Caenorhabditis elegans: one gene and its partner. The protein of the gene in region 1 purifies or fractionates together with the protein of each later gene. This does not show direct contact. Each region holds a gene or a part of one and is shown on either strand. Other genes may lie near its edges.

The links. The genes of interacting proteins can lie anywhere in the genome.
Region 2: the proteins of mce-1 (region 1) and ZK154.1 fractionate together in Caenorhabditis elegans (co-fractionation; one large-scale study listed by BioGRID). This does not show direct contact.

Annotation. Positions count from the first base shown.
Region 1 is NC_003279.8:7,580,197-7,583,877, reverse strand, and holds mce-1 (Methylmalonyl-CoA epimerase, mitochondrial), read right to left. Parts: upstream 1,773-3,681; 5' UTR 1,758-1,772; coding exon 1,695-1,757; intron 1,621-1,694; coding exon 1,495-1,620; intron 1,152-1,494; coding exon 852-1,151; 3' UTR 545-851; downstream 1-544. Other genes in the region: ndub-7 (NADH dehydrogenase [ubiquinone] 1 beta subcomplex subunit 7), read left to right, coding at 2,255-2,368, 2,451-2,555, 2,661-2,813; D2030.3 (Fanconi anemia group I protein), read left to right, coding at 3,047-3,109, 3,190-3,604, 3,672-3,681.
Region 2 is NC_003284.9:7,777,774-7,781,136, reverse strand, and holds ZK154.1 (Apple domain-containing protein), read right to left. Parts: upstream 1,561-3,363; 5' UTR 1,512-1,560; coding exon 1,413-1,511; intron 1,344-1,412; coding exon 1,160-1,343; intron 1,059-1,159; coding exon 953-1,058; intron 904-952; coding exon 810-903; intron 764-809; coding exon 617-763; 3' UTR 530-616; downstream 1-529. Other genes in the region: ZK154.4 (uncharacterized protein), read left to right, coding at 447-524.

The DNA.
Region 1 (3,681 bases):
CGCGCATCGATTGAAGAACCGAAAAAGGTCGTTTTCTAATTGGAAACGAGGGAGAGGAAAAGAGACTGAACGATGTTGAATAACTGAATAAAACTGTGAAACGATGTTTACCGAGCTTTTTCGCAAACACTTTGGACATCTTTGGATTGAAATTCTTTTCGTCTTATTTGGAAAAATATTTTTCTAAAAAAGAATTTCCCTCTTTCAAATAGGTGCGTAGTATATCCACTAGAATTTCAGGATTGACGGCTCAGGGACCATCTTATACTGATTATGTCATAGATGTAATTTTGTTTTTGATTTCTGATTATTGACATTCTTCGCTTAAGTCTGAAATTTCTAAGAGTGTAGTTCATACAGTTTTGATTTTCTTCTTTTTTTTCCAAATCCTAATCCACTGTAACTTTTCTGAAAATAGGTTTTTTTCATATTACCCATAAATTTTACATTCTTTTCTGATATGTTTTTTCGTAGTTTTTCGCTTTAAAATTCAAATTATATTTTTGAAAACATGTAAACGAATTTATATTTTGAAAATTTAATGAAACAATTTATTGAAGTTGTAGGCAATTATTATGGCACAAGAAACAATAAAACATGTGAACAGATTAAAACGTATCAAAAATTAATCTCTATGCAAAATACTGGGTGCTAAAAGAAAGGTTTATAGTTTTTTTTTTTGTAATTTATATCATATTATCGATTTTTCAAAAGTTATAGGCTGCCAATAAAAAATTTTGAGAGAACTTTTGCGAAATTTAAAATTTGTGAAGTTTCTCACAAAAAAGTGAAGATCAAAACTTTGTCAAACAGATAATATGATTGCTAGATTTTGGGAACAAAGAATCAAATTATTCCTGCTCGAGTTCAATAAGTACACCTCCACAATCCTTTGGATGCAAGAACATTACTTCTTTTCCATGAGCTCCAATTTTTGGTTTCTCACCCAAAGTACGAATTCCTTTTGTTTTAACAGCAGAAACAGCTTCATGAATATCACGAACTTCAATACAAATATGATGCATTCCACCGTCCTTATTCTTATTCAAAAAAGCTTGAATTGGAGATTTCTCGCCGAATGGATGAAGAAGCTCGATTTTTGAGTTTGGAAGCTCAACGAAGACAGTGTAGACTCCATGTTCTGGTTGTGGCTGTAATTATTCAATTCAAAAATTTTAATATAAACTAGATGAGACATTTTATTTTTTATTTGCGGATTTTTATCATTTTTATGAAAAAACTTGTAATTAAATAAATATTTTTCAAGTAAGTTTACTGTAGTACACAAAATTCGCTTCATTCGCATTTTATTTCATTTTTCAGTTGTAGGGGTTTTTCCAAAATTTTTCGTTTTTTGTTATGCTATTTCAAAATTTTAGGCTATTCAATTTTTATTTTGATTTATGCTACAAAGAATTTAACAAAAATATTTTCTACATATTTTTGCTCTAAATTTTTATTGACATTAGGAAGAAACAAAAATTAAAGACTAACCACAGCCTCGCTAACTTTTGCTCCGAGGCCCTTGTAGAATTCCGATGATTTCTTGAGATCTGGTGTGGCAATGGCGACGTGGTTCAACTTTCCGAGAAGTCCTGCCAATGGATGGGAAGCCATGGTCTGAAAAGTCAAAATTTTTAAAGTAAAAAAGCGATTATCTAATAGTTTTCATCAGAAAAAATAGAAAAACCTACTCTTGTGGACAGCGAAAGCTTAGCAGAATTGACAAGGGCGAGTGTAGAACGGAAGGATGCCATTTTCAAAAGAAGAATCTATAAACATGGTTACTGTACTTTAATAAAATTTATAAAACTCGAAAAATGCTAAGTAATAAGCGTTTAAATGATTGAAACATCTGTGAGAAAATGAAAAGTAACAGAAACAAACAAAAGTTTAGATAAGAAAATGTTTTTGACATTGAAAATTCGGTCAATGAACCCGCTGTAAACTTGCTTTTTGCACGCACTCACTTTGATTACAACGACACTCCGATATTACACAAGTGCTTGTTGTTTATCTTATTTTATTTCGGGCAATTTTTGTGCCAATTTTCAGCTTTACTTTGTTTTTAACGTTTTAGAAGAATATTTTCCGGAAAAATATGTTAAATTATTAAAATATAAATTGTTCACTTCTTATCAGCAAAGCATTCGCTGCCCTAAGCATGCTAATTATTTATTTTGAGTTGATTCAAATATCAGAAGAGTTTTGATGCTTTCTTTATTTTGTACCAATTCCTTTTTTTTCAGCCAAGATGGGAACTAAACTGTCCGTCTCATTGGAAGGAGCCAGTACACCAGAAACCGCGCCACGTGTCGACAGACCACCAACTTTCGATCCTCAGTATGGATTCGAGCGACCGAGAAAGGTAAACAACTTTTTTAAAAGTTCATTAAATAACTGTTCATTTAATTCATAAATATTCAATATAATAAAGTTTAATATTCAAGGTCCGCGAGATGAAGGCTACTTGGGAAGAGATGGAGCAGTGGAAGTTGAAGCCAGCTCAACGCGATTATTGTGCTCACCACTTGATTTCACTCATGAAATGCCAAGTAAGATTTTTGTTTTAGTTACAATGATATATTTTTAAAATTATATAAAAATACACATCTAAAATTATTTTCTCAAAAACAGCAAAAATAATTTATTATATTCAGACCCAAAATGCACCATTTGCCGGACACGCGTGCGACGGAGAACGTGGAGCTTGGGATAAATGTGAATATGATGATCATATCATGAGAATCAAAGAATTCGAACGTGAACGACGATTGCTTCAAAGACAGGCTCGCAAAGAAGCCACTGCTTGAATAGATGTCGATGAGATATTTCTTTAAATGATTTTTGATAATAGTATAGTTTTTTGTGAATACTATGTGTCTTTTGTTTCGTTTCTTTTTCTCTCGATTTCGGATAAATATTGAGTCGTACACTTTTTTTTAATGTTGAAAATTTTTTTGTTGTTCGTATCATTTGTAATATATCTATGCTATAATGATTCCGATTAGTTTTCCATATTATAATTTAAAAACACCTTTCAGAGATGACCGAAATCCGAAAAGTCGTCCAAGAAACAATGGTTGGAAAACCAGAAGACGAAATTCAGGTTAGAAATTGTCAAATTTTTTTGAATTATCTAAAAACCTACATATTCTGTCATGGATCCATTCATCAAATAAGTTTCAGACTTTCGAAAAATGTCTCCGTCTCGTTGGATCCAATCGAACACGTAAAGAACAAGAACTAGGATTTTGTCTTATGTCGAGAATGATCATCAAATGTTCTTCACAAACTCTACGAGCAGTTCAATCGCGATTGGCTAATCGACTTGCTCATATCTCGGATCATTTTCAATTATGTGGATCACTTTATACTCGAGAACTTCTTGTTAGAAATCCGCAAGCTGGAGAACTTCATTCTCCAATTGTATTCAAGATTATTCTTAATTGCATGGATGCTGCTGCACAAACAAGTGATCCCAATATTCGTGGATTGGCTGCTGAACTGTTTGGATTGAGAATTAGCAATCAGAATCTAACAATGTTGTTGAATACGCTTGAAGTTTTGTTGAGTGCAACCAAGATTAAAAATGTATCAAATGGTTAGTAATTTTATCAACAAAAAAAAGTACAACTCTATTGGCACGTAAAATCTGAATTTATTTTCAGATCTCCTTCA
Region 2 (3,363 bases), on another chromosome or scaffold:
CTACCAAATTGTATTGTAGCAATTGTTTTTCAGAACTCGTTAAACGTTATAGTTTAAATAGTATATTTTACACTTTTTTTGGAACATTTGATAATTATCAACTTTGTTTAAAACTTCATCTAGACAGAAACTAAAAACAAAAAATTCAAGGCAGAAGATTTCTAGTAATTTTGCAAACCACGTTTAATTAGAACTTGTCTAGTTCTCTTTTTTATAAATTCCGCATTTTAAATGTTTTCGTTTGGTAGTTTGAATCATAATCCCAGCAAGAGGAAAACATGTAGCATTCAATTTTTTCCCTTGCAAATTAGTCTCTGAAAATACAAACCAACTGAACTGAAGAAGTATTTGTACTGTGAAAATTGCAACGCAAAATAATTGTTTTTACAATGCATTCTGATATTAAAAATACTTTTTCCAAACTGGGAAAATTAATTTCTTTCCAGGTTGTCTTGGCCCCACGAGGCGGGTTCCGTGATACGGCTCCCAAGAAAAGCAGATTTGACTTTAACGAAGCAAATGTGGTGAGTTTGGGTTGGTTTATATATTTATTAGGATGTCAAAACAAACAATGTTTATACATAAATAAGAGGTACGCTGTAGATGAGATAACTAGTTAATTGAGGAGCTTCTTGTTGAGAAAATCGTCTTCATTTTTCACTTCCGTCGGTGCTTCTGTCGTTGTGACGCCGTTCTCATTAGCAGCCTTATCAAGCTTTCCCTTGATTACATTGAATCTCTTCTTTTCGAATTCACTCATCTCCTGTAACATGGAATAGTAAGAACAGTTAACTATATTAATGAATTACATCAATTTTGCAATGATCCCTTTCTGATTGATATTGGCAAACTTCAATTGTTACATCAACACGGGAGCTTCCGTCGCGTTCCATTTTAACGTCACTAAAAAGTGATTGTTATAGAAAATGCTAGTTAACTAGAGAATGCTTACCGAATGTAGTGGTTTGGTGCCAACACCGGATTGGTTCTGATGGATGGACCAAGGACGGAAATGGATTCGGTGTCTCTCCAGATACACTTTTCACGACCGCTGCTGTCTGCAAAACGCAACATTTTGGTCGTGTTAATCTTGCGATGGCAGCTAGTTTTTGAGTTTCTCGCCGATGTGAGTCTTAGTCACTTGTTACATTATCCTCACCTGTCTCCACTCTAGTAGCCAATGAAGCGCAACACAAAACCATCAAGGATTTCGAGTTGAGGAGAAGGCCAGAAACGAAAGTGCGACGTCCGCGGAAAGTGGAGAACGACGTATGTTCATTACATTGCTTGCGCCATTCGCATTGCACCGCACACGTATATGGGATGAATTTGGCACAGATCGCCTAAATTGCTGGCTTTTAGAAGAGTTTGATAATTAGAAAATTCTTAGAAGTATGAAAATTCTGACTTACATTTGTGGACTCGTATGAGAATAATTTCTGGCCAACATAACATTGAACTGCCGAATAGACAACAGTAGGAAGAAGACACGCTATTACCAATTTCAGCATGGTTCTGAAAAAAGCTTTTGAAATATGTGGTTATCTTGAATCCGATGGCAATTGAAAGAAGAAAAAAATGCAAACAGAATGGCAGAATGGGACGGGTTTGTAAATGAAATGAAGTTGGAAAAAGGGGGGGGGGGGGTGGAGATTCGTGAGATTCAAATCTTGCAATCTTTCACAAAAGGTGAATTCGTGAATTTGTGAAATAAAGGCGTGAATGATAGGGGAAAAGTGATTGTTATCCCGGTTTGGGTGTCTGGCCGGACGGGCATTCTTCAAACATCAAGCGATAAGACTAGTTTCCAGCTTCAGTGATATAGAACTGATTATACTACTAACGCGCGTTAGCTACTGTTTAGTTTGGCTAAGGTCGAGGTCAAGGAAAACTGGATCTTTAATTGCATCTTGGGACAAATACTTTTTTGTCCAGTGAGCCTGATTGTGTTAATATAGTTTAATAAAATTTTAGTGTAATGGCATCCGAGCAGATTTCACGCGCAGAAAAATATGAAGTGAATGGCGGATTATGAAGAAGTGAAGGGCTTCTCTGTGAACCTTAGAACCTGTTTCCGATGGCCGCGAGTTGTGCCCGCCCCTCATCATATCTGAATTTAACCTTTCATGGCCGCCCGTTTCGTAAACGTAAACATGCGCAGCAAAAGATAAGGATAGAAAGTGAATACAGATTCAAAAATGTGAAATCGAATGGCAAGTATCTTATCGTATAGTATTTTTCGTTTAACGAGGAACTAACAAGCCACCAAAAAAGCGGTATTTTTTATCTGGCATTCAGCTGGGGGTGGAGAACGTCATGAAATTACGTTAGGTACGCAACATGTATGACCATTTTACACGGTTGTACTATAGATGTTCTAAGAAAATTTGTATTGTAATATGTCATGAAAAATTCAGATAAGATAATTTGATGAACATACATTTCACGACGTTGAGCTTTTGATACATGGCTTTCAATTAAAGTTAAGCGCAAATTGCGTTCCAAACAGTATAGTAAATTTCAAAAAAATACCAAATTGAGGATTACATTCTAATTGAGAAAACAAGTTATTTAGTTTTTTATTCGATAAAGAAACGAAACAATTGTTCATGACGCTGCAAATGTTTGGAATGAAGTTAATTTTTGTTTTTTCTAATGCAACCAACTGCTCTCATTATTATTTCTTCTAACCGTATTGCACCCTACTACTTGACTTTTAACAGTTATCCTTCTGCTAACTTTAAATTAAAACCTGAAACAGATTGAACAATCTGTTTCAGGTTTCAAAAGCATTTTTTCATGAACGGATTAGTGCTGATATGTGAACAATCATAAACGGTACAATTTGATTTACTGTGGGCTTTTGAAGAGAGGAGATATACAAAAAAACATTGCTAGGAAGAAATCACCAATTCGATTTACAATATATATATATGGTCAACCTAAACGTAAAACATTGAATATTATAAAATCAAAATTAATTCACGATGGACCGTTTTTGAACATAACTTTTACAAGCTTCATCATGACAATGATAATATGACGATCTTATGATTTTGCTTTCACAGTGTGCGAGGAAACGAGTAAACAGAATAACGAAAGAAGAACAATATACTCGTTCTGCTAATCAGTGTAGTCGGTATTCGATTGTTCTCCTCCCCTAATTTTTTCCACGGAGAGTCCTGTTGAGAATGGATTCTTCAGCTAGCTTCAACAGCTTCTCCTTCTTCTTCTTGTCTTGTGTCTGTTTCTACTTCTCTATCTAGTTGTTCGTCAACTTTTTATGAATAGCCGCCAATCGGTCGGGACGGCGGCGCAAATTGCGGGAAAGAGATGCCGGGGACGCGCTTGACTCTTTTTTTT